Xenopus tropicalis: one gene and its partners. The protein of the gene in region 1 binds, or shares a complex with, the protein of each later gene. Links are inferred from orthologs where the notes say so. Each region holds a gene or a part of one and is shown on either strand. Other genes may lie near its edges.

Region 1 (6,266 bases):
GGGATAGGATAAGGGCATGGGTTTGCAATACTGTGAAGGAAAAACAGGAAAATCTGCAGTGGCATTCCTATGATTTGAGAAGGAAAAAGACTTGTCAAATCAGCAGGGTTTATGGTCCCGCCATCAGTATTAATGGTAAAAGAAGAAGAAAATACAGGTTTAATTATAGGTGGTATTAGTTCAGCACAATTATGTCTGATTTGTGTCAAATACAAGCACAATTGGTCATTTTTGACCCATGGGCCACAATTGCATCAGACATCCCTCTTGTGATTACAACAAAGCTGTACTTCTGAAAAAAATGCTGCATTGTGGGGAAAAAAACATGGCAATGGTGCCCAAAATAGTATTTCTCTCAGAGGCATCACTTTTGCAGTGAAAGTTCTCTATAGACAAATGGTCAACCCATAGGTTTTAGAACTTCTTGCTTTAATGTAAAGGTAATGAATATAATACACAAGTTTTGGTGATTCAAGTGACAGAAATTACATCACTAAGCATAATTTATAAGGATTTACAGGATTTTCATGGTTCTTATGTATTATATACAGATGAAGTATTTCACACAGTTACACCCATTCATAAAATAAATGCCGTATAGTGTGATTGAATGCACCATTAAATCTTGCCATGTAGGCATAAAAGATATAATGGGCAATATTTAGTTCAATAAAAAAATTATCTACTAATTTTCCCTGTATATTTCTACTGGGTTTTCACGAAATAAACCACATTGAAGTCGGCTTTTTTACTCTACTGCATATGTGCAGGCCCCAGGATTAGAGCAAAAGAAAAAGAAAGGAAGAGGATCGTTCGCCTTCATGTACTACAGGCAAGTGCAATTTTCTGCTAATAGGAGCACCAGCTGGTTTCACTGTGGCTAAAAATTAATCCTATTCTTTATTGCAACTCCCTATAGATCCTATCAGGTCTCTGTCCATGTTTCAAATGAAGGGTGGGATTGTTCTAACAGTCCCTTGCCAGAAGCACACCAGGAGGAGGATAGCCAATCACAGCCTTGCACTCACACAAGCAAAGACAGGCTTCAGTTCTCTATCAGGTCAGCCTAGCTGGTTCCTATCCTACAGTGCACGTACTGAGAGCCGCCGGCTCCCCAGTTTTGGTGGAATTTCTCAATAAATCAATCCGAAACACAACTTTTTAATATCAATCCTTCCATATTTAATGGAGTATAATTCACTGGTATATTCTTTATTTTTAATGTCTTCTTTAACTGGTAAAGTTCCTGTAATAAACTGAAAATTTGAGTCATTTCAGTTCTGTTTTTGAGGTTTGCTTCATTCTTGCGCATCATGTAAATGAAATTCAAACACACAGTTGAGGAAAAAGCTGTTCTCTGGTTCAAAATTGACCAAGCACAGTCCTATTAAATGTGCCAAGCATTGCCACCTTGTAACTAGTTCTCAGTACACATGAATAAGTACACATGCACAAATTATAGTTTGTAAGATTGTTGTATTTATTTATAAGCAGTTAGGTTTAACTAAACCAGAGACTGAAAATCAGTTGTCATAAATTTTCAGTTTGTACCTGCAGTCTAAGCAAAGGATAAAAATAGGCATTTGTTAAGGAATAACACACTATTAAAGGTGTTGCAAAGACACTAATGAGCTGTTTTGCAAGCATGGACTTAGCACCTAACTCACTTTCCTGCACTTATGTGTTCTGACTTGGGTCTTCGTATTCTCAAGAGAGGAAACCTTCTCACAGTTCATTGTACCTGCCCCAACTGCTGCTGTTAAACAAACACCTCTGAGCCCTATTACCACTTTTAGGTTATCAATACCCCTTGGAAATGTAATTTAACAGGTTTATGTCAGCGTCAGTTAAAAAAAGGAGAATGTCACGGATCTAATCCTTAGAGCTGAGGATGTTAAAACATAATTAAAGCTGTTTATTACACCAGGGTATATTTAAATTGTAAACAGAGAGCTTGCAGAGGCTCAATTGAGCAAACAAGAACGTTAAAGTAAACCTACACTGATTTAAACAATTTGATATATACCCGCACACTTCATTAAATAAATAATTCTTTATTTAAGTAGTTATAGTAGGAGTAAGCCAGATCTACAGCAGCACGACTCTGTGACTGCGTTACACTGACTAGCCCCTGTCACAAGGCAGTACGTGTGCGTCATTGCGTTACGTGCAGCCGTGCGTCACTATCGCGTGATGAGACTTGTGGCTTTGGGATTTTCAGTAAAACAGGAAGCTTGGAGCCTGCAGGTGACAGTTTTGCGGAAGGTGTAAGTGTTGATTCTGGAATGCGGGCTGTGTTTAGGAAATTGGGACTGGTGGATTGTTTAGGAAAAACGGGACTGATAGTATGAAAGTTGTGTAGGGGAAAAGAGTATGCATTTACCCTAGCCACCAAAATCGCTTCCGAAGTCTGAAGCTCACTGACAGTAGGGGTGGGGCGGAAATCCATTGTATTAGCGCAGCCGGACCCCCCCTTAAAATACCCACTGGGTCCGGGACAACTGTCCCCTTTGTCTACCCCTGGTGACTGCACTGCCTTAGTGTTTCCAGTCGATTTCTGCCTGCACTAGTGTCTCTCATACGTCTATTGAGACACAAAATAACACAGCACTGTTACTGTATGTTGAAAGAATTACCTTGTAAAATGATTTTGTAACAACAGTATCAATTAAAAGTAATAGTTCATCCTTTAATGAATTATTGTGTAATTGTCCTGTGATTTAATGCAAGATGTGGGAGTCTTTCTCTATCCTGCTTTTCAACAGACAGGCTTGCAGATCAGCTGATTAGATCATTATCTTCCTCCCAAGGACCAAAAATGGAGTTGCTTCAGTTATGTAACGCCCTTTAAAAATTGCATTATGACATGAATTACCCTTTTAAGTAGGTTTTAGCTTAAAGGAACAGTTCAGTGGAAAATTTAAACTGGGTAAAATGTATACGCTGTGTAAAATAAAAAATATTTGTAATATAGTTAGTCAGGCATATTTGTCTATAAAGGCTCTGTGAGCAGATGTCTAACATAATGGCCAGAACTTTATTTCCTGCTTTCAGCTCTCTAACCTCTTAGTTAGTCAGTGTTTTTGAGGGGGGGGGGGGTATAACTACTCAGTTAGTTTGTGAGCACACAGGTAAGATTCAAATGCAAACTAACTGAATTGTTATGTCCCATATGCCCCCCCCCTCCAAGTCACTGATACATTTTTGCCTAACTAACTATATTGAAAACATTTTTTATTTTGCACAATCTGTTTTGGCCATTTTCATTTTTACACTGACCTGATACTTTAAGGATGAAGACACACAGAGCTACTAAGTAGCAGCTAAGTAGTGTCATGGCTACTGAACACCAGAAAATACCCTGCCATAAACAATACTGAGAAATGCGTTTAGTAGCCATGACGAGTAGCTGCTGCTAGTAGCTCCATGTGTCTTAAAGGAACAGTAACACCAAAAAATGAAAGAGCTTTAAAGTAATAAAAATATAATGCACTGTTGCCCTGCACTGGTAAACCTGGTGTGTTTGCTACAGTAACACTACTATAATTTATATAATAAGCTGCTGTGTAGCCACGGGGGCAGCCATTCAAGCTGGAAAAAAGGAGAAAAGGCACAGGTTACATAGCAGATAACAGATAAGTTCTGTAGAATACAATAGTGTTTTATCTGTTATCTGCTATGTGCCTGTGCCTTTTCTCCTTTGAATGGCTGCCCCCATGGCTACATAGCAGCTTATTTATGTAAATTATAGTAGACTTTCTGAAGTAAATACACAACTTTTACCAGTGCAGGGCAGCAGCACATTATATTTTAGTTACTTTTATACACTTTCATTTTTTGGCGTTACTGTTCCTTTAACCCCAAAGCTGCACAAAGTTGATTCATACTGTAGTGGAAGCAAACAAAAGGTGTGTAGGTATTGCCATCAGCTTACAACTGTCATGCAGAAAGATGATGCATATTTGCTTACTTAGTTTTATCACTTCCAGATTCCTGTAGTACTCTACATTGCCTTGACCTCGTCAAGAAAAAAGTGGAGTTGACTATATTCGACCATGTCTTACAGTACTGGCCAGGATCCAGCTCAGCTTGCCCAGACCATATCAGGCAATATTCAGAAAATCACACAAAGCTGTAAGTTACAGTCTTTTTTAGCAGTTGTTAAAATTTAGTTTGTCATTTGTCTGAAAATGACTTAAAGGGAAACTATCATAAAGACAAATATTTGATGTAAATGTCACGTCATGGATATAACAAACTTTCTCTATATAACTGACTAAAAAGTCTGTATAGTTTCTGAAATAGTCAGGTTTCTCTTAACTCTGCCCTTTTAAACGAGCACTCTCTCTAAATGCAGGCATACATCATACATCATTGGCCTGTGCTCCCCTCCCCTAGCCTAGATGATAGAAATGTCTTGAGTGAAAGATTTTTGACACAAAGTTTGCATGTAGAGGCTGATTGCTGAGGGGAAGATAGTAAAGAGTGAATTGATTTTTTTTTTCTTTTAGAAATTAAACAGACATTTTCATTGCTTATATCACAAATGGTACAGAGTTCTTAACTGGTTTTATTTAAAAACTTTAATATTTCTATGTTATTATATTATTTTGTTTTCATGATTTTTCTTCATTAAATAGATATGTTTTTATGACGCCATTTCTTTTTGCTGCATTGTTTTGTTTATTTTTGTCAGTGGTCACTTGAGCAACCAACCAGGGTACTGTAACTGATCCCATGTACTTGGACTCCTCAAATATGCATACAGTACAACTGCACAGATTGTAATTATGCTCAGTGTTTCCCTCTCCCCAATGAAGGCACATTTTGGTACTGACAGATATAATGTTTAGGGGCTGCACAGTAATGACATGCGTACATTTCTATTTTATTCTGTTTTTATATCTATTCCATTCGCCTTATAGCTTCTGAAATACAAAGGATAGTAAATCAACTTGGAACTGTACAAGACACAGCAGAACTTAGAAATCGTCTGTAAGTCCAATTTTTCTTTTCTTTTTACTATTTATTTTTTTTTTTTCAATAAAGTCATTGAAGTGATTGAAACACACTAAGGGTTTTACCAGTTCCTATCAATGTTTTATAAAACATATCAGTATTACTTTTTCTAGTGCTATTTCTTAATTTTAATACCAATTTTCCACTTACAAAGAGACGGAACATGTACAGAGAGTGTTCAAGATCAAAGAAAACACTCAGAAAGGGATTCTTGTGAGAAGAAACCACAAAGCTAGCCTTTTGTATTGCACCACTCAATCTGACCAGTCAGGTTTGTAACAAGTTAATAAATAAAATGTAACTTTTATTACTTTATTTAAAATAAACTTATGCCACAAAGGAAAATCTGTTTAAAATCAGGGGGGAGAATCATAACAGGAAAACTGTTGTGGCTCACAAAAAGAGTGATCTATCTGGGGACCACCATCTGAGGATTGTAACTGATATTAGCTGATATTAAATTGGGATCAGTGATTCAATTCTAATCACAACTCTCCACTCACTGTTATGTTATAGTGTATTTGATGAAACTCAATTTTTCCTCCTAGACACACTTAAAGAGTGTTCTTTAAGTAGTTGGTATTTATTATTTCACTGCCCCGGGGCCACCCATCACAACTACACCTGTCCCTCTCCATTTAACTCCTCATTTTAAGCAAAATCACAACTCCCGCCTGCCTACCTCAAAGGACTGAAAGCGCCTGAAAAACGTTTTTTAAACAGATTTTTCTTTTCCTCTTTGACATATAGTTATTTTAAATTAATTAATAAAAGTTAAGTTTTATTCAGGAACAAGTTCCAAATCTGACTGGTCTGAATTAGTGGTGTAATACACAGATAACTTTGTGGTTTCTTCTTCACAAAAATTCCTTTCTAAATTTTAACTCTAAATGCTTTAATTTTGATGGTAATAACAATACTGGGAAGGTTTATAAAGTGATACTGACAAAAAATAGTGTCATAAAGAGTGTACTTTTTTCTTGTTCCTTCCTTTACTTCTGTAAATGTATTAAAAATAGAGAGTTCAGAGAGAGTTAAAATAATATTCACAGTTCTTTAAGCAAAAGTAATATATGCTGTATTTTTTTATGTTTTTTAGCCAAGAGAAGATACAATATGCACATAAAATTGCCAAAGACACAGACAGATGCCTCAAAGACTATGCTTCACTGCCTTTAGAAAGTGATCAGGTAAAATACAATCATCTGAATAATTTGAAAGTTCACACTATATATATTATGTATAGT
Region 2 (6,355 bases), on another chromosome or scaffold:
ACAATACAAGGCTGATCAGTGAATAATAAATTATTAGTACATGGCAGCTCTGAGCCAAGTGCAATTAGCATGGGAATATACTAATCCTCCCCAAAGCATCAGCTTATATGACAGGCAAACCTAATTTTTGTTTGATCATTTGCTACAACCCCTACGCTTAGCTTCTCAAATCACACTTAGGGGCCTATTTATTAAAGTACGACAGATACGAATTACAAAATATTTGTATTTGATCGTACTGTGTGTATTTTCTGCAACTTTTTCTAATGTTGCGACAAAATCGTATTGTCGCGCCGAGTACGATAGTTTCGGATTCATTCAAGCTTCGGTATCGTGACTTTCCTTGGGCCAGGTTGGAGCTGCAGAGTACCATTGAGTCCTATGGGAGGCTTCCAAAATCATGCACAGAAGGATCAAAGTCAGAAAGGTTTTCCTGCTGTTTATGATCGTTCGGATCGCCAAAACGATATTATCGTGACTAATATAATTTATTTGTAAGCATTTTCGTGTTCATCAGAAATTATTGTATTTAATCAATTCGGGATTCAAACTCATACTTTGATGAATAGACCCCTAAGCATGTGAATGTTGCAGAACATTCTAACAGAATCCAAGATACAGAGCTCCTGTGACAACTATGAAGGCAGAAATCATTACTGATAGAGATGGGGAACCTTTAGGTTCATGTAGTACGTTTAGTATATAAAACACTGAATTTCTAGCCATAGCGGTTGGTAACCCATTGGTAACTCTCTATATAAAATTTCCCCATTGATAAATCCATAAAAACATTAAACAACAGACCTTCCATGGGAATAAGTGAGTTTGTTGTTTTCAGATGGGATCTTTGCTAGGATCTGCTCCGTCACCTCCAAGAAGTTCCCACCGCACCAAGCATGTTTTGCAAGTATGGTGGTTCCTCTAGCAACAACAGCAAATAGGATAGCCATGCTTGCACCTGAAACAAAAAAAATAATCCAGGTTAGCATAGGTTAGGAGGAAGCATTTGTCAGTCTATTTACTTACGATAAAATCATGTGAAACATAAAGCTCCAATTGTTTTTCCAACTATTACACTTAGGGCTGTGACACATGGGGAGATTAGTCGCCCGCAACAAGGCAACTTCCATGATTTCGGGAAATTGTGGCGCCGTGTATGCCATCCCATGGGCGGGATGGCGTTTCAGGGAGATTAGTCGCCTGTGACAAGGGAGATTTGTCGCGGGCGACTAATCTCCCCGTGTGCCATAGCCCTTATAGTGCTTACACACTAAATGGAAGAGTGTTAGTGCTTCATTTACATTAGAGAACCCAAGGATGATTGCACATATGTATATTATTAGCCTCTGCCAACATGCAAAGTCTGCATTCAAAAAACATACTAAACACAAGCTGTCTGTTCCAAGCATTCCTCATCCACTCTCATAGCTATTTTGTAATATTATTATCTCTTAACAAGTAGCAAGGACACCATGGCATTGTTGAGCACAAAGCTGGTATTGGCATCCTATCACCTTCTAATCTAATGTTGTGAATTATGTTATGCATGTTCATATATACATGCTCCACAATTTTTGCATGCATTTGTGTTAGAAATTGTGGGGGCAATTGGCAGCAGCAACCTTAAACAAAATTTTAAATGGGATTTCTTAACTATTAGCAGTTATTACACAATTAGCCTTAGAAAACAAAATGCTGCAACTTCCCCAAAAAATGCTTCTGCCCACTTTTAGGCAAGGGGGTGGATGTGGTTACTGTAATTAGCTTTATTACAGTCACTAGAGCACTATATCTGGGTTTCAGCTTGGGTCTTGCAGGTAACAAGTGCAATGCAATAATCTTCTGCTCAGTACTGGGACTTCAATGGATCAAGCTCTCTTTCTAAATATTTTTTTTCATCAAATACATCACAACACAGCACAAAGCTTGCTTTGAATTCACTAGCATAATATAAACACAGGGTAAATACAGAAAATTTTACTTCAAATACTCCTCACTATTCCTCAGAACATTTGCACTACTTACTGATAACCAGTTGGCAGAATAGGTTCAGGAAGAACTGAACAAATAATGCACCACAAAGTGGGGGGCTTTAACCAAATATTTGTCAATGAAAATCTTCTGTTTTTTCTAAGGATTTTATTTCATATTACATTGTAGTTATAAATGGTCAGTCGCTGAAATAGCTCCTGAACCTAGTGAAACAAACATATGGAGACCACTTAAACTACATCAACAGACTGTGACCAAACCTAGAACTCCTTCACTGAAAAGAATCATCGCAAACAATTGCTTTGTTGTTGGAATAAGAAGTGTCAGCACTCTAACTAAAATCCACAGCACAGGTTTCAGCTGAGACAGGGCTAGTGGCATGACAAGTTTTTCGGGCATGAAAACAATTTATTTTTAACTTTACTTTTTTATGAATGCTCTGCAGATTTGCTAAGACATCTAACTGTAAAACAAATTGTGCTGGTCTGCTTAGAGAAACATGTTTATTTGGTGAAACAACCCCCGGTTTCCAAGAAAAAGGTAGAGAGGTTGTGTTGCATTATATGGGCGAGGCCCTGAATTTTTCATTGTAAATGCCTATACACAACCTCTGTTTTCATTATAAGAGAGTACAACATTTAAAGAGATATTACCTAGGTTCTTCAGAGTGACAGCAATGTGGCATTTCCTGAGAAGAGCTCTTATTTCTTTAGGAGCAGCAATTGAGAGGGTAACTAGGAGAACATGTGATGCTTGCAGGGCTTTTAATTTCACTGGCCCCTGAGAAGGGAGATTAGGATGTTAACCCACACCAGTGAACCTGACAGCTCCCATGGAAGGAGTGGGGCCATCTCCTGAGGGTTGACAAGCACAGGAGAAGAATAGAAAGAAATGTGCTATTTGTCAATTTGCAGGAAGCATTTTTATGATAGAATTGCCCAGATTGCAAATGTATTTAAACTGCGTGATTAAAATGCTAAGCAAGTAACTGGCTTCACAAAACTTAGGTCCCACTGACTCAAGCACGAAAACAAAATTCTTCAGCCTACATACTGCCATCAATCCCTTACACACTATGGAACCTCACACACTGCCATATATATAAACAGGTATGCACACATCGTGACTAATATAAAATTGGTAAGTATGCTAAAGTGATACTGACACCAAAAACTAATTTCAAAATATGAATATACATAAAAGTTCCCTATAGGTTGTGTTGACGGTTTTTCGCTGACAGGTTTGGTTTTGTAAGTAATTGTTACTTGAAGTTCCTAAACCTGACTGTTTTGCCAACCTGACTGTCCCTTCCCAACCTGTCAGTTACAGCTTCTAATGCTAACAGACAAATATGGCTGCCCCCTCATAGAGGAACACAGGGGATCAGACAGGTAATGTAAACGCATCAGGCAAATATTTTTATGGCAAAATTATAAAGTTCTTGCAAAGACAATGTTATGATAGATGTAAAAAAAAGATTTACTTTCTGGCGTCAGTATCTCTTAAAGCAGGAGCAACATCAGGCGGGAACAGTAGTCCCAGCACCCGTAGGTTCAGCGGTGTTGCCCTTACTTGGATTACTGGCCGCTGCTGTCAGTGACAAAACGAGCAAAACATAAAGCTGTATATGTGTAAGAACATGCACCCTAGCTATCCCCTCCCTTCTGAAGTCTGCAGCTCACTGACAGCAAGGGGGCGGCTGATCCACGTAAGTACAAACTGCGCAACAGTCCCGACTTTCCTTAAACAGCCCGCAGTCCCGGTTCGCTACTTACACATACCGCAAAGCTGTTAGCTGCAAGCGCCTCACTTCCTATCTCACGGAATAGCCTGACGTCACAACTGCACGTAAGCGCAAGGACGCACACGTAGCCGCCATGTGGGAGTGACGAGTAGAGATGCCGTAATTAAATTAGACAATGAGAAGCGGCTAGAGGTGGCCATAAATCCGCTCCCAGTCCCACAAAAAAAAAATAGAAAAAGAGAGTTTTCGTGTTGGTTGTCCGCCGTGTTTTCAGACATCAGTATTTCCTCAAAAGAGATTTACATTTTCATCTTAAATTTTCAACTTGGGCCATTGCTAATAAAAAGGAAGGAGTTTTTATGCAAACTAGAGCAAAGTCAAATAATGAAATCATCTTTTAGTTTGTCGTTTGAGGGCCCCAGTATTTTTATTCAAGCCAGGGGCAGTGGAAGGGCTAATTTAGGAAAAGACAATGGGTTAAATTGACCAAACGTTTCCTGTGGACTTTTATTTGTGTTGGTTCCCTGTCATTTTTGCGCTAGGTAGTTCCAGGGCACCAATGAAAACCAGTGCTGGAAAGGGTGTCATGGAGGAGTTAGATCACACCGACTGTCATCCATGGTTACCCATAAACAGACTTTCGGTTATTTTGAGTTCTGGTCAGTGTGAAAACAAGGAGAATATGTTTTTGCAATTTAGGGGCAACGTATGAGTTAATTTAGGAGAATCTAATGGGAACCAGCAGTAATCCTCAGCTGTTAGGCTCTACTTTTATGGTTATTATTAACATTTATTTATAAAGCGCCAACATATTCTACAGTGCTGTACAATAAGTGGGTTTCATACATTGGACATACAGAGTAACATATAAAGCAATCAATAACCAATTTTGGAGGCCAGACATTTTTTCCTGCTGTCATTTGAGCCTCTTCTAATCTGACTAAAAAGGAAACTGTTTTTGTGCACACGGGCCAGATAAAAACTTAATTTAGGGCCAGGTAAAATTTAGAGTCTTAGGTAAAAAGGCTTGTTTGGGCACTTGAGATGGAAAGTTGGCCCTGTGCCATCTTACACATAAGAATGAACAAGGTTTCTGTAAATAAAAAAGTTTAGTTGAATTGTTAACCAATGGCCAAACAGCAACAAATTCATGGGCTGAAACCCCTCAAGCAAATGCAAAAAATGCATACCTCCCAAATGCCCTGCATCGGCTTCTCTCCACAGGGGGAGAGACACAACGAGGCAAGTCTTACCGCACACTGAGCAATTTCTCTGCCAGTGTAAAAATACTTCTTGTATTTGCATTTTTTGCACAGAATCTGCCAATTGTGTGTAGTGATAGGTAGGTCTCAGTCATTTCTGTCGCTACATACATGGGATGGATATGGAACAGCCTTTTCTCAGCAGAAAAAATATCAATTGAAATGAATATCTCTGATTTAAGCATAAGAGCATGTATGCAATTTTGGCCTGAGCTGCTTCTTTCACATCCTTATGTGAGTATATTGAAGGGTTCAATCTGTTTTAACCATTAGGCCAAGGGGGGGCTGATAATTTTGTTGTATGGGCCCCATGATTTCTGATGGGAGCCCTGCCTGCTTCCCTGTTGTACAATTACATGCACATTCAAAGTTTCAGTAACTCTTCTCAAAGTTTTCTCTGTATCACAAAACAGAAGAAAAAAGTCATGCTGATATACAGTTAAAGACCCAGAGTAAGTGTACAAATCAGAATTCACTTAGTCTCACATCTAACCCCACTCCCTGGGCTAAAGTTGTAAAACCAAACAAAGACTGAAAGTTATGTTCTCTCTTCCCTTCCTGGAATTCACATTAGCAGCCAAATAACATGTGCCCAGGGGGCAACAGCATCATGGCCTCAAAATAGGAGCGGTACAGGAGGTGAAATTCACTAGCTATGAATGGCCTAAAAGAGCCTGGGGCAAGGTTGTCTTTGAGCATATTAGCCCACTGGTCCTCCCTAATCTTATCTCTGCTCCCATTCCTGTGTTAATATGGGAGAGCAACACCCCTAGTCCCACCACATAATATAATACCTTGCTTTCTTTCCCTGGGTGGGGTGTATTGTGCCTGAGTTTGGCAGCTTCACATGACAGCATGTGTGATCTGCAGTGGAGATCAGTTTTATTGGAGTCGGCATATTGCACAGGAAAAACTAAGCAAGTATTGCTTACCATGTGACCACTAGATGGCACTATTTGATTAAAGTGCATTGATGATAATTCACTTTATTTGATAGTAACATTTTAGGTCTTACTCATACTGGTAGTTACTTAGATAGAACTATGAAAATACATAATCAATTTTACTTAGCCATCACTTTCTATAACTACCTGTATACTACAGTATGTCTAAATCAGGGCTGCCAATAGTGATTTAGCAGCACCTCCTCCCTCAAGGACCCCCCAGCTCAAAATTTAATCTCTGTCTCTCCTCTGCCATGGGGCCCTTCACTGCAGTACCCCCTGGTCTGAAAATACACTGCAGTGTTTACAAGAGGGCACAACATATGAATTGTAATGCAAATTTCCCCATCCTATTGTTGGAGGTCACCTTTGTTTAGGCCACAGTATTCTAGGGTAGCTTCTTGTATCCAAGA
Region 3 (6,288 bases), on another chromosome or scaffold:
CTGCCTGGTTACTAAGGAAAAGACCACCCTGGCAACTAGATAGCTGCTGAATTTCCAAACTGGAAACTGCTGAACAAAACCCTAAATATCTGAAAAACCATAAAAATGAATACATTTAAAACAAATTGCAAATTGTCTCAGAATATCATTATCTATGTCATACTAAAAGTTCTGCTAAATCCTGAAAGTACATATTGCTGTCCCATTAAACTCCTCCCTTAAGCTGGACGTAAAGAATTAGAAATGGGTGAGAAACCAGTTATTCAGAAAACTTTTCCCATAAAGTTATTTTTTTTTTAATGATTTCCTTTGTCTCTGTAATTGATGCTAATTAAACTATCCTTGTGTTTATATTATGTTTATTTTCTGTAGTAGCCTTAAGGTGTTCTAAATTATGGAAAACAAAATGTCACTAACATTCTGGATAACAGATCCTAAACCTTTACTATAATTATTATAAATATATATATATATATATACACACACAACAGATAATGAACAGACTGTTTTGTACAGGGATTCGAAGTATCTATAGAGTCTTACCATGCCATCCAGGTACTTGTTATGGTCATCAGCCTCTTTGTCAATGTCCAGTGCAAGCTGTAAAAAAAAAAAAAAAAGGAACAGATTGTGATATCCGAGTGATTATGCAGGAACAGAGCCCAGGCAAAAGAGGCAGAAGTGCCCTGTACTTTATGCATACAGTAGGAATTGTTAGAGAGGCAGAAGTGCCCTGTACTTTATGCATACAGTAGGAATTGTTAGAGAGGCAGAAGTGCCCTGTACTTTATGCATATAGTAGGAATTGTTAGAGAGGCAGAAGTGCCCTGTACTTTATGCATACAGTAGGAATTGTTAGAGAGGCAGAAGTGCCCTGTACTTTATGCATACAGTAGGAATTGTTAGAGAGGCAGAAGTGCCCTGTACTTTATGCATATAGTAGGAATTGTTAGAGAGGCAAAAGAGAAAGGCGCTGTGAATAGAGGCCTACACATCAGTTATTTATTCCTGTAGAATATCTACCACTCCTACTTACTGATTTCAGCCTGGTCACCTTCGAAGAAAGATTTTCTGACAGCCGTTTGTTCTCTGCATCCAACATCTCATCCACTGCTCCTGAATTTGGCCCTGTAAAAAAAACAAAGAGCAACTGAATGGCAGGTTTTTCTTTTTTGGAAGGGGAAGGGACAGTGGTGCCGGCCCAACAACGCGGGGAAGGGACAGTGGTGCCGGCCCAACAACGCGGGGAAGGGACAGTGGTGCCGGCCCAACAACGCGGGGAAGGGACAGTGGTGCCGGCCCAACAACGCGGGGAAGGGACAGTGGTGCCGGCCCAACAACGCGGGGAAGGGACAGTGGTGCCGGCCCAACAACGCGGGGAAGGGACAGTGGTGCCGGCCCAACAACGCGGGGAAGGGACAGTGGTGCCGGCCCAACAACGCGGGGAAGGGACAGTGGTGCCGGCCCAACAACGCGGGGAAGGGACAGTGGTGCCGGCCCTGAATCACGAGAGTGGAAACTAGAATGAGACTGTCAGGATGTAAGAAGGGATTTCCAGGATGCCCGACTGCTGTCTCACCTAATGCACAAACACATCCCCAGACTAAAGTCCTCATGTGTGACGTGCATTTAACATAATCAATAAAGCCAATTTCAATATATATCAATATATATCTGGCCATGGCAAGGCAGATCCTAGTGCGATATGGCCATAGTCACATATGGGCAGAGTTTCTCTGGGCCTTTTTGCAATATACATTCATTTCAGAAACCCCAGGGTTAAAAGAAACTACAAATGCATAGACAGTCAGGGCCACAGTCTTTTCGGGCATTCAAAGAGAGCTGATGAGCCGAGGTCTTCCTGGCAGCACGTATCTGCTACTGACTCACAAACCATTAAAACTAGAAAATCAATGCACACTGCAAAAGTGCTCAGAGACTGCTAAGTTTATAGCAATTCCCCTTCAAGGAGCCGACTATAACGCACTAAGAAAGTAACCTGGAGCCCTATGAAACCCTCCCCCACCCCTATTATGTCTGAAATTATTACAACAGCCCCTCAGATATCAACAAGAGAAGAGAGAGGCACCCAAATGTGTGCTTATTATAATATTATTATTATAAGTACAGGAAATCATTGCTTATGGTGCCGTACCCACGCACAACACTAATACACTTCCCCAGCCCAGTAACGAGCAGAGAGATCTCCAACTCCCCTCACACTGGGGACTGCTGGTACAGACTGCAACACTATACAGACTGGTACAGACTGCAACACTATACAGACTGGTACAGACTGCAACACTATACAGACTGGTACAGACTGCAACACTATACAGACTGGTACAGACTGCAACACTATACAGACTGCAACACTATACAGACTGGTACAGACTGCAACACTATACAGACTGGTACAGACTGCAACACTATACAGACTGGTACAGACTGCAACACTATACAGACTGGTACAGACTGCAACACTATACAGACTGGTACAGCAACTGGCAACACCTATACAGACTGGTACAGACTGCAACACTATACAGAACTGGTACAGACTGCAACACTATACAGACTGGTACAGACTGCAACACTATACAGACTGGTACAGACTGCAACACTATACAGACTGGTACTGGTAAGACTGCAACACTATACAGACTGGTACAGACTGCAACACTATACAGACTGGTACAGACTGCAACACTATACAGACTGGTACAGACTGCAACACTATACAGACTGGTACAGACTGCAACACTATACAGACTGGTACAGACTGCAACACTATACAGACTGGTACGACTGCAACACTATACAGACTGGTACAGACTGCAACACTATACAGACTGGTACAGACTGCAACACTATACAGACTGGTACAGACTGCAACACTATACAGACTGGTACAGACTGCAACACTATACAGACTGGTACAGACTGCAACACTATACTAGAGACCCCCACGACTCTCTAATGACTCCTAGAACAGTCTCAGTCTACACAGAGTAGAACCCCCGCACCCTGAACACTGTGTAGTACAGAGTATACAGCACATTCCCATACTGACCTTCCCTAACAGAGAAATCACCCACCAAAGGCCTTCAGAGTACTTCCCCATACAGCCCCCATGGAGACCACCCCTAGCATAGAGCCCCACCCAGGACAGAGTACCGCCCCCAAACATTAATTCCAGCATAGATTCCCTCTCAGTTCCTTTGCTTTACGCTTAATATCCCAGAGCGAATCCCACGCAAACACCTTCTCTGTTTGCCAGGCCGCTGCCCCCACTCTCTCGGCATTCAGGGAGCACTGATATCCTACATAACACACGTATTTATCTCACACAAGCACCCTAGACCCCAGTACCTCTGCCCCAGTCCGCCATCTTGGATTCTTCTAAATGTGACGCGGCAGGATATTACACGTCACTAACGTCACCCTCACAGCCACCAATACGCTTCAACCTTGCGTCAGTGCGTCAAGAAAGGACGGACTGTCTCATTAAGCCACGCCTATTAATGTTTAGGCGTTCGCTGTTGCCATGGAAGCAGTTTATCCGAATTATCCTAATATAAAAAAAATAAAGTGAAACGTGCACTCCTTTTGCTTCTCCTACTTTGTGTGTTGTGGCTAGCTCCGCCCCACATGGCGAATCTCTTGGGGGATCTTGGGATTTGTGGTCCAACAAAAACAGTGGAAGCAGATTACACATTACAGCTCAATACTCCCCCCACATATTCTCCAATTTGGAGCCTCTCTCAATGTAGTTTGTGACAAAAAAGGCTTCCAGTGCTTTAAGGAATGGCGACACCAAAAAATGAAAATTATTTCAAGTAATTAAAATATAATGTACTGTTTCCCTGCACTAGTAAAAGTTCTTTTACTTCATAAACCCTACTCTAGTTTATATATACAAAGCTGCTGTGTAGCCCTGGGGTTATGGTTGCCACCTGTCTGGTAAAAATGATGCTTAGTGCCAATGTTATTATTAGAAAAAAAAGATAAAAATATAGGAAGGCCGGTATTTATTTTCAGAAAAGGTGGCAAAAAAAAAAGAGGACAAAAGACAAAAAACTGATAAGCTCTCTAGAATACAATGGGAAACTACACTGCTTATCTATTATCAGCTGTGTAACCTGTGTCAATTAGGGCTCTTGCACACGGGGAGATCAGTCGCCCGCGACAAAACTCCCTGTTCGCGGGCGACTAATCTCCCCGAGTTGCCATGAGCGAACATGTGAACATGTAAGTCGCCGGCGGGATGGCACACGCGGCGGCGCGATTTCACGAAATCGCCGAAAAAGACTCGCGAGGTGACTAATCTCCCCGTGTGCCAGAGCCCTTAGCCTTATTTCAGTTTGATACAGCTTTGTTTATATAAAATATAGTTGAGATTCTAATGCAAACACAACTTACCAGTGCAGGGCAATGGTACAAAATATAGTGACTACTGTGATACATACATTTTTTTGGTGTTACTGTTCTTTAAAGTATGTCTTAGTGCTGGTGTTGGAAATCAGGGCGATTAGTCACCGTGACTAATGTGACTACTGTGGCTATAACAATGCTGACTTGTCCCATACAGCAAATTCCACAGGCGGCGACCTGTATGTTCATGTATGGAAATATCCATTATGTCGATTAGTTTCGGTGATTGTGTTTTTAATTGTCCTGTCTGTCTTTTACCTTAGATACCAACATGCAGTCTAATCTCATACCATGTACCGCCTGAAGATGGCCATACACGGGCCGATACTAGCTGCCGATATCGGTCCCTTAGACCGTTTCAGCAGCTCATCGGCCCATGTTGGGGCAATAACGACGGGCCTGCCTGACCGATACCTGGCCTGAAATCGGGCAGATATCGATCGGGCAGTTTAAAAAATTTAGTCGGATCGGGGACCGCATAAGGGCTAAGATTGGCTATTAGGTAGCCTCTATGCACACTATCAGCTTACAGGGGGCTTTATTTGGTACTAAATATTGTTTTAATTCAATCAAAACTTGCCACCAAGTCAGGAATTCAAAAATAACTACCTGGTTTGGGGGCACTGAGAGCAACATCCAAGGGGTTGGGGAGCAACATGTTGCCCCCGAGCCACTGGTTGGGGATCACTGTATGAGGTGGGGGATTCTGAAAATGTACCAAAATACTTTGTTTGAGCCACAATTTGTGTGCATTTATTAGAAGGAATATTGACTACATGATACAACAGGAAGAGACTTTCAGAGGATTCTGGATATTGTAGTTCTGCACTTTAAAACTAATAAAGCTAGGAGTGATTGGTAAAGATGGTGTTTAGATTTAGTATTTAAAAAGTATCTCTGATGCAAATTATACAGTTCTTTCAGGTTTAAAAGTAATTTATAATATGAGTTCAGCACAGTACTGGATGTTTATAAATAGGAATTGTTAGGTCCATTGATCATTTATATAGCATAAAAAACATCATTTTTTTTTATAACCTTTGTTCCCTATGGTGGATGTGTGTGGTTTTTGAACTCAAGATAAATAAGGTATTGTTCATTCCCCCCTGGATCTGATCGGTACTGAACTCTTTCCTCTGAGTTTACAAGCTGTTAGTGTTGTTTTCCATTCTTCTCAAGCTCCTCCAGCTCCTGCTGCCACCCCAGAAACTGCACAAATTGCTTAATTCCAGCTGTCACCTCTCCAAGCTCCAGCACATTGAGCCCTTGGGGGCCACTTACAAAAGGTCCAACGGAATCACGGTTAATGAGGACACGGGGGGTTGATGCTCGGACTGCATAAACCAGACTGGCAAATGGCTCCACCTGAAAAAAAGTGCAACATAACATTGGATATTATCTGTTTACAGTTGTGTCTGCAAGAAGAATGAAGGGGAAAGCTGGGCATACAGGTATCAATAAAATCATAGGTAACTAATTTTCAGTACTATGCATCATATGTGCTGGTATACGGTGCACTGGCAGATGAGGAAGTGAAGTGGAAACGAAACACCTCCTTTGACTTCCTGCTGTCCCAACCATTTGGGCTGTCTACCGTATGACTAGAACAACAGAAATGGGCCCATACACTTCCATGGTATCTGTCTATTTGACCAGTGGGCCAACATATAGCACAAAGGGTCGTCTGGTGTACAGCTGCCTCAAAATTCCATTTTGGGAGTCTGTCACATTGGTCGGCTAGTGTCCTTACTTAGTGGCTAGTAAATAGGTTTAATTAACTTTGGTTCTGAGACTAAAAAGTGTAAAAACAGCTAAGCAGTATATCTGTACTTATAACTTTAACTGACTTGTCTG
Region 4 (6,142 bases), on another chromosome or scaffold:
TCCTATTTGTAAAAATGGCCCCTTTATTGGAGCTCCCTATAGATCCTATTAGTTCTCTGTGTTTGAAATGAGGGGTGGGCGTGTCCTAATGTTTCCAGCCAGAAGCACAGCAGGAGAGGGATAGCCAATCACAGCCCTGCAGTCACACAAGCAAAGACAGATTTCAGTTCCCTATCAGGTCAGCCTAGCTGCTGATTGGTTGGTTCCTATCCTACAGTGCAGTGTACTGAGTGCCACCGGCTCCCCTGCACATCCAGAGAATTCAGCCAGCAGGAAGTGATAAAGAAGCGGAGCACAGAAAAACTTAGAAATAAAAACATAAATTTATTTCATCATTTAAAAACAGGTCAGAGCATATTCACCTCTTTAGCTTAACGCGTTTCGTGGTAACACCACTTCCTCAGAAGCCCAAATTGTGACACCCTCCATTTGAATTTAAATAGATAGGACACACACCCATTCTTAATTGGCAACTCACTGTTAACCCTGAAGTGTGAAAAACAAGCACATATATGTCCATAGACGTGATGAAAACCTTGTATATATAAAAACATATAAAGAGCACCCACCCGGGTGCTTATCAATTATAAAAAACTGTACCCTCCAAACCACACATCATTTAGGTAAGCTTAGGTGTTGTATTAGTAACAATAATGATGATAGTAGTAATAATAATAGTAACAATAGATCAAAAAAGTCACATGTATTAAATATTGTTACAAGTTGTTTCTAAGTTGTATATATATGATTATATGTCCAATTGTCAGACCACAATACTAAACTAAAAGTATACATATAAACATACTGCTTCCAAAAATATTAATCAATTATATAGCGGTGTGGTCACATGATTATCAGTAGAAACAGGATAATTCCCATCATCTATTGAGGCCCCCATATTGCTCTGTTGTTTTCAACCGATATATCCAAAAGACCTCTCTCTCTGAAAGTTTCTTATCTATATCACCTCCCCTAACACTTATACTAGGTCTATCAATAATCTGAAAGGTCACATGATTACTACTTTCATGTCTCTCTATTATATGTTTTGCTATCGCTGATCTCGTGTCCTTTCTCTCTACGGCTGATAAGTGTTCCAGAATCCTAGTTCCAACCTTACGAATGGTTTTCCCCACATACTGAGCACCACACTCACATGTGGCTAGGTAAATGACCCCTTTGGATTGGCAGTTGAAATATTGGGGAATGGTGAAAGTAGCCAGCAGGAAGTGGAACAGATGGGCAGGACTAGTGGGGTTTTGGTGGAATTTCTCAATAAATCTCAGTCAGAAACACTACTTTTTTTAAGCACAATCCTTCTATATCTAGAGGAGTATAATTCACTGGTACATTCTTAATTTTTATAGGATATGTCTCCTTTAACGTCACAATCATGCATCACTTATACAATCAAGCAGGACTTTGAGTCTTTATGTTTTATAGGCTCCAGTACTCCAGTCCAGTTTTATGTTTTTTTCAAGGCCCCACCCTTAGGTCAATGCAACCTTGCAAATATGATACTGGTGTTATCTTACCCTTGTAACTGGTTCAGGTCCTTCCCAGCTGGTGTATTACAAGTAATAGCATTAATGGCAAAGTCACACAGGGCACTTTGTCACCAATGGTAAATCTGCGCTACAATGGGCGACAAAACGTCCCTAGCTTCCTTCTTGTTGGAAGTACTGGGAACACATATGCATCACTTCTGCTTCCAAAGTTGTCTCAGGGCAAAGGCACATGGGACATTTGTTGTCCACCGTAAATCTGCACAGCCCCTTTACAAAGCAGCTCCAGGTTACTTCACAATGCATGTTTTCTCACTAGCAATTCACATTACTGCTGGTGGCAAGAAAACTAGGTATGTTCTTCCATCTGAGGTAGCACAGATTTACCAAGTCAATTGAATAACCTAAAGCCATATGGTACTCTGCTGAAAGTAGAATTTATTTGCCCATTAATATCCACTTTAGAATGCTAGGATAGATTAACAAGGTCATGACATTAATTACATGGTTGTAAGGCCACTTAGAGTTAGCTAAAAAGAAACGCCATTCCACAATAACGCCTACGTATTACTATAGGCAACCTTTCCACTACTAATACGCACACTTCCGGGTTAGAAACACACCTCCGGACTGACGCACTCAGAGTGCGACTCGCGAAGTACAGGAGCCGGTGACGTGTGTGTACGTGGCGCTGACGTCAGCATTTTCCCCGGCAGAAACAGAAAGAGAGAGGGAGTAAGAGAGAAGCGGTGACCGGTGAGATTTACTGTAAGGGGGAGGTGTGTTTGTTTCTGTTCCTATAATGTGAGGGCGCGGGGTCCAGTAAGGGGCTCCTTGGGCTCATAGTTTGTTGCCCACATTCTGTGGGAGGGTTTGATTTTGGGGGCTTGCCTTCCGTGACGTCATGCCTGTGGGGGGGTCTAATGACACTAAAGGTGATAATCACTACACTGGGTGAGAATTGATGTTAAGATAATCTTGAGTACGCCGCATACCTACTAACCTGGCTGTCTGACTGGCCATGGCTGTGACTACCTGGCTGTCTGACTGGCCATGGCTGTGACTAGCTGGCTGTCTGACTGGCCATGGCTGTGACTAGCTGGCTGTCTGACTGGCCATGGCTGTGACTACCTGGCTGTCTGACTGGCCATGGCTGTGACTAGCTGGCTGTCTGACTGGCCATGGCTGTGACTAGCTGGCTGTCTGACTGGCCATGGCTGTGACTACCTGGCTGCCCGTCTGGCCATGGCTGTGACTACCTGGCTGTCTGACTGGCCATGGCTGTGACTACCTGGCTGTCTGACTGGCCATGGCTGTGACTACCTGGCTGTCTGCCTGGCCATGGCTGTAGCTGCCCGTCTGGCCATGGCTGTGACTACCTGGCTGTCTGACTGGCCATGGCTGTGACTACCTGGCTGTCTGACTGGCCATGGCTGTGACTACCTGGCTGTCTGATTGGCCATGGCTGTGACTACCTGGCTGTCTGACTGGCCATGGCTGTGACTACCTGGCTGTCTGACTGGCCATGGCTGTAGCTGCCCGTCTGGCCATGGCTGTGACTACCTGGCTGTCTGACTGGCCATGGCTGTGACTACCTGGCTGTCTGACTGGCCATGGCTGTGACTACCTGGCTGTCTGACTGGCCATGGCTGTGACTACCTGGCTGTCTGACTGGCCATGGCTGTAGCTGCCCGTCTGGCCATGGCTGTGACTACCTGGCTGTCTGACTGGCCATGGCTGTGACTACCTGGCTGTCTGATTGGCCATGGCTGTGACTACCTGGCTGTCTGATTGGCCATGGCTGTGACTACCTGGCTGTCTGATTGGCCATGGCTGTGACTACCTGGCTGTCTGACTGACCATGGCTGTGACTACCTGGCTGTCTGATTGGCCATGGCTGTGACTACCTGGCTGTCTGATTGGCCATGGCTGTGGCTACCTGGCTGTCTGACTGACCATGGCTGTAACAACTTGGCTGTCTGTCTGACTGGCCATGGTTGTAACTACTTGGCTGTCTGACTTCCCATGGCTGTAACTAACTGCATGTCTTGCTGGCCATGGTTGTAACTATTGGCTTGCTGGCCATGGTTGTAACTATTGGCTTGCTGGCCATGATTGTAACTTCATGCCTGTCTGACTGGCCATGGCTGTAACTACCTGGCTGTCTGACTGGCCATAGCTGTAACTACCTGGCTGTCTGATTGGCCATGGCTGTAACTACCTGGCTGTCTGATTGGCCATGGTTGTAACTTCATGCCTGTCTGACTGGCCATGGCTGTAACTACCTGGCTGTGTGACTGGCCATAGCTGTGACTACCTGGCTGTGACTACCTGGCTGTGTGACTGGCCATAGCTGTGACTACCTGGCTGTCTGACTGGCCATGGCTGTGACTACCTGGCTGTCTGACTGGCCATGGCTGTGACTACCTGGCTGTCTGACTGGCCATGGCTGTGACTACTTGGCTGTCTGACTGGCCATGGCTGTGACTACCTGGCTGTCTGACTGGCCATGGCTGTGACTACCTGGCTGTCTGACTGGCCATGGCTGTGACTACCTGGCTGTCTGACTGGCCATGGCTGTGACTACCTGGCTGTCTGACTGGCCATGGCTGTGACTACCTGGCTGCCCGTCTGGCCATGGCTGTAACTACCTGGCTGTCTGACTGGCCATGGCTGTAGCTACCTGGCTGTCTGACTGGCCATGGCTGTAGCTACCTGGCTGTCTGACTGGCCATGGCTGTAGCTACCTGGCTGTCTGACTGGCCATGGCTGTAGCTACCTGGCTGTCTGACTGGCCATGGCTGTAGCTACGTGGCTGTCTGACTGACCAAGGCTGTAACTACCTGGCTGTCTGACTCGCCAAGTCTGTAACTACTTGGCTGTCTGACTGGCCAAGGCTGTAACTACCTGGCTGTCTGACCATGGCTGTAACTACTTGGCTGTCTGACTTCCCATGGCTGTAACTAACTGCATGTCTTGCTGGCCATTGCTGTAACTATTGGCTTGCTGGCCATGGTTGTAACTTCATGCCTGTCTGACTGGCCATGGCTGTAACTACCTGGCTGTCTGACTGGCCATAGCTGTAACTACCTGGCTGTAACTGACTGGCCATGGCTGTAACTACCTGGCTGTCTGATTGGCCATGGCTGTAACTACCTGGCTGTAAGTGACTGGCCATGGCTGTAACTAACTGCCTGACTGGCCATGGCTGTAACTAACTGCCTGACTGGCCATGGTTGTGACTTCATGCCTGTCTGGCCGTGGTTGCAACTACCTGGCTGCCTGACGGGCCATGGTTGCAACTACCTGGCTGCCTGACGGGCCATGGTTGCAACTACCTGGCTGCCTGACGGGCCATGGTTGCAACTACCTGGCTGTCTTGTTGCCTATGGCTGTAACTACCTGTCTGTCTCTCTGGCTGGCCATGGCTCTAATAATAAATGGTCACTCCACAGAAACCAACTTATTGGGCAATTATTACATTACCTGCCTTGGCAAGTGGGGCCCAGATTTTTCTGCATTAAAAAGTAAGAAAGCATTGCTGTTGGCCCCATTGGGGTACTATTTGGTGGGCCTCCTTCAGAACGCTTCTCCCCAAAGGAGGTGCTAAGTACTTTATGTTTTGTACATGATAAATGTCCAGCCTGCTTGGTCATACATGGGCAGATAACATAACACATACAAAGCATAACATCATGTCTGAGATCAAGACTGGAGTTTTACATAAAAATGTATTCTGATGCATGTAATGCAGTCAATGCTGTATGCCAATATTCTTAAGAGCATCCCTTGGTTTCTTTTTATTGGACTACTGAAAATCAAAGTAATTAAAATGTAATGTATTGTTGTGCATTTGCTTCAGAAACTCTACTATAGTTTATATAAACAAAGCTGTTGTGTAGCTATGGGGGCAGCCATTTAAACTGAAATAGGGCTAAATGGTACAGTTTACATATCCGGTAATAGATAAGCACTGTAAAACATCATTGTATTCTACAGAGCTTATCTGTTATCTGCAATGTAACCTGTGCCTTTTCTCCTTTTTTCTTGCTGGAATAGCTACCTCCATGGCTATACAGAAACTTTATTTATATGAACTATAGTAACCTCTCTGAAGCAAACACACAGCATCTTGGGGCAAAAGTATATTACATTTTATTACCTTAAAACACTTTCATTTTTTAATGTTACTTTAATGGTTTCCATTACCTTGTTATGCTTATTCTCTTTTCACTTATTCCTGACTGCATTAGTGTACATACCACATGTTTGTGCGCTGTCTGTTTTAGCTCTTGGCACTCCAGGCATATTAGTGTGGTCTTTAATATTCATTTTAAAAATGTTACTCTACATTGAGTGTTTAAATAGAATACCCCTTTTCAGATTGGGATGGTGCATCTATCTTGTCAGCATCGTTTTGGGAATTTCTTTCCTTCAGTGTAAATAGTTGTAGGATATCCAAAATTTGACCCCACACAGTTGCCTGTGATCCTCTGTTAAACAGCCTTCTTCTCGTAGTATGCCTGCTAAATACTGCATGAGGTAGCACTTGCTGTCTTCATTCTTTTTGTAATAGGCTAAAAATGCTGAGCTGCGTGTTTTTTGATTGGCATTCTGCATATGTAATTGTCATAAAA
Region 5 (6,268 bases), on another chromosome or scaffold:
GGTGACGTCACCGGTACGAGCCGAATCCCAAAGTACGGGTCCTCCCTAGTGTCAAAAAGGTCCGACGCGTTGGACACGCCCCTGCCTTAAAGACTCTACCTCTACGTATTCCTTTACAGAATTATTTGCTAACACTGACCCTGGATGGGTAGCTTTCTTTCACCTGCTGCAGCACCACCTTCGCAGTGCTCCTAGGTAAGTGATGCCCTGGATTGGCACAGGTACAATAAACAGTCCAACAGAGACAAAACAGCACAGGCATTTGCCCCCTCCCACACTTAATAGACTCTGGAATGTGATGCCAAGCCAAGGGCAGCAAGTCACTAAAAAGTCATAATCATAAAATGCACTATGTTTGCCCAGGATCAGTAACTCATAGCAACCAATCAGCAGGTAGATGCACTGGTCAGCTGTTTAAAAGCAAACATCTTATTGGTTGCTATAGGTTACTGCTACAGGAAAAAAGTTGTGCCTTTTAATACATATGTGGGTATGAACACTGTTATAGGAATAGTTCAGTGTAAAAATTAAACTGGGAAAAATAGACTGTGCAAAATATAAAATATTTCCAATATAATTAGGCAAAAATGTAATCTATAAAGGCTGGAGTAAGCATATGTCTAACATAATAGCCAGAACCTGACTTCCTGCTTTCAGCTGTCTAACCTCTTAGTTAGTCAGTGACTTTAGGGGGGCCCACATAGGACATAACTGTTCAGTTAGTTTGTGAGCAGGCAGGTCAGATTCAAATGCAAATTAACTGAACAGTTATGTCCTATATGGCCCACTCAGGTCACTGATTGGTTATTGATTGCTAACAGCTTAGAGCTGTTCTGGCTATTATGTTAGACATCTGCCCACTCCATTTTCATTTTTACACTGAACTGTTCCTTTAAGATAGTCACAAGGAAAATTATAGACTAACCAGGCAATTATTTTAAACAAAGGAGCACCGGGGGAAGAGGAAAAGGTAAAGTACTGCATGGCAGGGCAGAAGCGATAAGAGGTGGGTTGGGAACCATACAAAATAACCCCAACATTATTTAATTTACTTGTGCCAAGAATAACTTTCTTCAGTTTTAGAATAATACAGCAGTGAATCATCAAGCAGCATTTACTTTTCTGGTCTTTAAAATTAATTATCTGATTGGTTACTAGGGGTATTTTTGTAATGAAAAAATGCAGAAAGTTGGCCAGTCATGTTTGTGCCCAGATGTGCAGCTTTCAGCCCCAGAAACATCCCTCTCAAAAGGGAGTAAAATAGATGATAGGTTCGGGACAGGTAATATTCTGAGCCCCAGATGTTGCAGAAAAACAACCACCAAAATTCTGTCCTCCCTTATCTGAACCACTGGTGGGAGCTGAGGGTTGTAACTATAGATCACTGAAGTACCATGGGCTCATGCAAAGCCTCCTATAGTTCTCCTTTCCACAGCCACATACTGCTGCCCTTACTGTACTGTACCCTTTCCACTCATACCCCGAAATATCTATTATTTTTATTATTAACAAGCATTTATAAAGCTCCAACATATTCTGTGTTTATGTACAGCAAAAAAGGGTCTCTAATGTCATTCAGCAGGAAACCCCATAGTCCAGTCTAAGCCTGTTTACATTTGAAGTTGACTGTTCACTTGCTTTAAGGGTGAAGACACACAGAGCTACTTAGTAGCAGCTAATTGTCACAGCTACTAAACGCCAGAAAATACCCTGACATAGACAATACTGAGAATTACCTCTGCCACATAGAGACAATTAACAGTAAATGATCAGCATTGTCTATTTCTGTAGCCGTGACAAGTAGCTGCTACTAGTAGCTCAGTGTGTCTTCACCCTAACACCCCTTTGAACTGAGCAGAACGTTTCTTATTGTGTGCGTTTTCCCAAAAGCACCTCTAGATGTCTCTGTGCCCCCTCATCGCTGTCCATACGAGCAAAGAAATTACCTCTCCATACAGCAGATGGCGCAAAGGTTTATTTTTGTCTTAGTCAGAGTCATCGGTGCATGGTATTTTGTCCCATTCCGCGCACCGTTGTTAAGCCTGTCGCGATGGCAGATTCGCAGGATGTCCACGTCCGAATTTGTCACCAGGAAATCGTTAAATATGACCTGGAGATCAAAGCGCTGATCCAGGTAACGCAGTGGGGTGCTGAAGGGGTGATCGCCATTAATAATACTGACTTTCTACATGCAGGAGGCAGTAGGGAATTCAGCTTACCATTAAGGGTCCGAGTTTGTAATATTCCCTATGCAACGCCACCTAGCGGCAGGCCGAGCTTACGTACCAGTTCCGAAGACTCCAAACTCAATGGTTTATGTTTGAATGCGGACTGGTGTAGCGTTACCGGCATGTACTGATAGTTCCCTACGGTCACAGCCTACTGTATGGTTTGGTTAACAGAGCCTGGCAGTTTTATTTTCCTAAATTATTACATGGGCTTCCTGCTACATGTTCCATGTACTGCACCCTAACAGTTATGTAGGTATAATACATTTAACTGGCTGATAACTGAAATAGCTATAATGCTTTCCCAGCTAATGAGCAGTGCTGCTATCAGTACTCATAGGCTCTATACTACTGAGTTAGCAGGGGGCCTCAAGTTTAACCCTCAAGTTTAACCCTTCTGTCATCTGGGCCATTATGAACCAGAATTAACACTGACATTAGTTGTTACCAGTGGCATAAAATAAGGTCAGGCTTCCAAGCAAAAGACTTTTCCGGGCCCTCACATGTTGGGGTGAGAGCCACTTACACCCTCGGCCACATAGTGACCACCACCTTCGCCTCCATGCTTGCAGAGCCAGAAGTAGCTGTAACCATACAGCAGGCCATCTGGATATCTGTATGCTAGTTAGCCAGTGAATGTTAGTATATCTTAACCAAAATGTCAAAATATCAGCACCCAGTAATCAAGTCTTTGTCACCAGTAATATCTTTGTATAGAATAACTTCCTAAAGCTGATACCTCAAGAGAACTGAATCCAAGTGATTTTGGTCACACTTATGGCACACCAAGCCTGGGATTCAAAATAGGCCCTGGCACTTCAAGTACACAATGTCCCAAACAGTGTCTGTCTATGGCTTCTTACAGCAGCCCCTCTGGCATTTGCCAGAATCCACAGATTGCCAATCTGGGCTTTTTGCACACCCAACCACAATTTATTATGCCTTGACTACACCCACTTACAACCCAACTTTATCCTTGGCTGGAGGCTGGTGGTTACTACCAGCATATTAACTGTCATTTTTTAATGACGTTTGCTAGGCATCTCATGTGCCACTATGTCATTTCAGTTTGGGAACAGCACAGCAGATGGTACTTTCTCATTGGATCCTTATCCCCCTAGCTCTTCTGTATTGTATGTAGACGTTTTAAAATGATTTGTCTTTTATAGGACATCAGAGAATGCCCTGGTCCTCTAAGCACCCTAAATGATTTCAATGCTCAAGTCAAGGAAAAATTCCACCTGCTGAGGCTGAGAATACAGGTACATTGTGTAATTTAGTAAAGACATTGCATTTTTGAGGGAAAAACTGGCTAGGTAATTAGAAATTCTTAACCACAAGAGAGGTTGATAATAAGTAATTGGGGCCTCTGCCCTATGATTAAACTATATTTTAAAACATTAAAAGTCCATTTACTGCCTATAACAGGGATCCCCAACCTTTTTTACCCGTGAGACACACTCAAATGTAAAAAGAATTGGCAACACAAGCATGAAAAATGTTCCTGGGGTGCCAAATAATGGCTATAATAGGCTATTTGGTAGCCCCTATGTGGACTGGCAGCCTACAGAGGCTTTGTTTGGCATTATATTGGGTTTTTATGCAACCCAAACTTGCTACCAAGCCAGGAATTTAAAAATAAGCCCTTGCTTTGAGGCCACTGGGAGCAACATCCAATTGTTTGGGGAGCAACATGTTGCTCATGAACCACTGTTTGGGAATCACTGGCCCATAATATTGGGAGCCCTCAAAGCAAAGCATATTATTCGCTCAGAGTTTTTTTCTAAGCACTTTTGCAAAGTACATTTTTTCTACTTTCTCAGTTATTAGAAGTTATTTGAAGTGCTGATTATTTTAGGCCAATGGGCTAAAAGTGGCTAAAAATGAATTTCCTGAGAAAAGAAACATTTTAAGGTGTTGCTCTCCCTAGAACTGATCACAGAAACACCAGAGACTCCACTTTCTAAGCAGAGCATCATTACAAAATGTTTCTTATCTCAGGCAATTCATTTTTAGCCAACAGTAGCCAGTCACAGTAGCCAGCCAGCTGAAATATCCAGCAGGTGGCGCTGTTGTTTCAAATATGTTATATTAGCCCAGTGATCCCCAACCAGTGGCTCGGGGGCAACATGTTGCTCCCCAACCCCTTGGATGTTGCTCTCAGTGCCCCCAAACCAGGTAGTTATTTTTGAATTCCTGACTTGGGGGCAAGTTTTGGTTGAATAAAAACAAGATTTCCTACCAAATAAAGCCCCTGTAAGCTGATAGACTGCATAGAGGCTCCCTAATAGCCAATCACAGCCCTTATTTGGCACCTCCGTTAACTTTTATGGTGCTTGTGTTGCTCTCCAAGTCTTTTTACATTCGACTGTGGCTCATGAGTAAGATAGGTTGGGGATCCCTGTATTAGCCATTTCAAAACAGCTAATCTCTTTAAAACTAAAATAAAAATAATTAAAAGTAGTTCTAAGAGTACTTTGCACAATTTTATAGTCATTTGTCTTGATGGATTACAGTACTTGTTTACTTGCTTGGATTTACAAAAAAAAAAAAACATTTTTGCATGAATCATTGCTCATCACCAAAAGTGATCACCTTTAAAGTCATCCAGGTAATAGTTTTCTAAACCTATAATTGGTGATATACTTCTTTGTTATTTTGGAAAAGGATTTTGAACAGTTGGCTAAGGAGCAGGATAAGGAATCTGACAAGCAAGCATTGCTGAAGGAGATGGAGTGCCACAAGAAACAGATGTTAAGGTGTGTATGGTCTGCTGCTTACATCTTGAGCTGTGCGAAAAATGGCCCCATAGCTTAATAAATAAATGTTATATAAAACAGGTGAAGAACTTTTCTTGCTTGCCTCTCAATATGTTTACAACACAAGGTTAATCAATATTGCTCTGTAGTTGTCCTACAAAGCTGTCCTGCAGTTGCTCATACATGTTTTGGCTGAGACATACTCTCTCTCTGCTTTCCCATTAGCCCACATGTTGCTGGGTGAATTCTAAGCTCCCCAAGGGAATTGTTGGTCAGTGACCAGTACTACACACAGTTCTACTTTAGTGAAAGGTGGCTTTGTGGTATTTTGCTGTGCTAATTAAGGCTGGGAATCTTTGTCAGAGACCCAACATCATGGGGAACAACCCCATGCCTACCTTCAGCACCTTGACCATGTTGTGCTGACTCTGAACTTTGCACCCCTTTCTCGGTAACTAGTATGAATGACTAGTGGCCCTATTTTAATGCTTCTTACAAATAGGGAGGTGGTGCTGGAATTTGTTACAGGTGAAAATAATTCAACCTATCTTTTAAAAATAATCTTTTAGATCATTATAATAATACAACCAGTGTATAATTTCAATCATCTACCATATCTGCCTTATATGAGGTTGCTCTTGTAAACTCTGCCAAATCTTATGCCTTTCATATTTGATTGTGTGTGCATTTTAATTTTTCTTAAGCAAAATTAACAACTGCTTTTCATCCATTGTGATGTTGATTTCAGCAACCAGACTGTGTGGCGAAAGGCAAACCTTTCATGCAAGCAAGCAATAGATAATGCAGAGAAGGATGAACTGCTCGATGGAGGAGACCCTACAAGGCAGAGGTACAGTGTTTTTGTTAAGAGGGTCATTCTGCAAGTCTATAGAAACTGCTTCTAGGGTGTTGATTTTGAAGACAGTTTAGACTGCTACAGACCACATAGCCATTTCACCCTTTCTTTCATTAACCCTTGTTAATCCCTTCCCTGGTCACTGTTGCTTGTATGGGATTTTCCAGAAAACCTCAAAAGCTCTGGAATAGAGAAATGCCAATTACTATAGTGTTTATGAAGTTTCTGAAAGTCTTAAACGCAAAAACAAAACAACAAGAATTTATTTTTAGAAAATACTTTAACTCAGTATCTATCAATTTCAAACTGAATCTTATTATGAATTCTCAAAATCAGGAAATTTCGACGCATTTGTTTACCGGTCACTCTTTGCGCATTCAGTTAGTATAACTTGTACTGCATCTAAATGTGATACAAGTTGTAGC

The links.
Region 2: stx7 (region 1) and vamp7 share a complex: the UniProt entries of both Homo sapiens proteins name them as parts of the SNARE complex. The link is inferred for Xenopus tropicalis from reciprocal best matches to the Homo sapiens genes STX7 and VAMP7.
Region 3: stx7 (region 1) and bet1l share a complex: the UniProt entries of both Homo sapiens proteins name them as parts of the SNARE complex. The link is inferred for Xenopus tropicalis from reciprocal best matches to the Homo sapiens genes STX7 and BET1L.
Region 4: stx7 (region 1) and stx5 share a complex: the UniProt entries of both Homo sapiens proteins name them as parts of the SNARE complex. The link is inferred for Xenopus tropicalis from reciprocal best matches to the Homo sapiens genes STX7 and STX5.
Region 5: stx7 (region 1) and bnip1 share a complex: the UniProt entries of both Homo sapiens proteins name them as parts of the SNARE complex. The link is inferred for Xenopus tropicalis from reciprocal best matches to the Homo sapiens genes STX7 and BNIP1.

Annotation. Positions count from the first base shown.
Region 1 is NC_030681.2:70,299,190-70,305,455, reverse strand, and holds the start of stx7 (syntaxin-7), read left to right. Parts: upstream 1-2,159; 5' UTR 2,160-2,267; intron 2,268-3,989; 5' UTR 3,990-4,055; coding exon 4,056-4,134; intron 4,135-4,925; coding exon 4,926-4,995; intron 4,996-6,118; coding exon 6,119-6,209; intron 6,210-6,266. UniProt on the Homo sapiens protein: May be involved in protein trafficking from the plasma membrane to the early endosome (EE) as well as in homotypic fusion of endocytic organelles. Mediates the endocytic trafficking from early endosomes to late endosomes and lysosomes.
Region 2 is NC_030684.2:65,373,560-65,379,914, reverse strand, and holds the start of vamp7 (vesicle-associated membrane protein 7), read right to left. Parts: upstream 3,806-6,355; 5' UTR 3,774-3,805; exon of another isoform or gene 3,772-3,773; coding exon of another isoform or gene 3,768-3,771; intron 3,762-3,767; exon of another isoform or gene 3,476-3,761; intron 2,827-3,475; exon of another isoform or gene 2,646-2,826; intron 959-2,645; coding exon of another isoform or gene 951-958; coding exon 805-950; intron 1-804. UniProt on the Homo sapiens protein: Involved in the targeting and/or fusion of transport vesicles to their target membrane during transport of proteins from the early endosome to the lysosome. Required for heterotypic fusion of late endosomes with lysosomes and homotypic lysosomal fusion.
Region 3 is NC_030680.2:24,000,445-24,006,732, reverse strand, and holds the start of bet1l (BET1-like protein), read right to left. Parts: upstream 3,485-6,288; 5' UTR 3,392-3,484; coding exon 3,373-3,391; intron 3,136-3,372; exon of another isoform or gene 3,074-3,135; intron 1,129-3,073; coding exon 1,037-1,128; intron 601-1,036; coding exon 544-600; intron 1-543. Other genes in the region: sirt3.1 (NAD-dependent protein deacetylase sirtuin-3, mitochondrial), read right to left, coding at 5,587-5,799. UniProt on the Homo sapiens protein: Vesicle SNARE required for targeting and fusion of retrograde transport vesicles with the Golgi complex. Required for the integrity of the Golgi complex.
Region 4 is NC_030680.2:36,552,152-36,558,293, reverse strand, and holds the start of stx5 (syntaxin-5), read left to right. Parts: upstream 1-2,192; 5' UTR 2,193-2,261; exon of another isoform or gene 2,262-2,284; intron 2,285-6,142. UniProt on the Homo sapiens protein: Mediates endoplasmic reticulum to Golgi transport.
Region 5 is NC_030679.2:43,442,883-43,449,150, reverse strand, and holds the start of bnip1 (vesicle transport protein SEC20), read left to right. Parts: upstream 1-2,020; 5' UTR 2,021-2,050; coding exon 2,051-2,134; intron 2,135-2,213; exon of another isoform or gene 2,214-2,450; coding exon of another isoform or gene 2,451-2,480; intron 2,481-3,397; coding exon 3,398-3,490; intron 3,491-4,895; coding exon 4,896-4,987; intron 4,988-5,735; coding exon 5,736-5,837; intron 5,838-6,268. UniProt on the Homo sapiens protein: As part of a SNARE complex may be involved in endoplasmic reticulum membranes fusion and be required for the maintenance of endoplasmic reticulum organization. Also plays a role in apoptosis.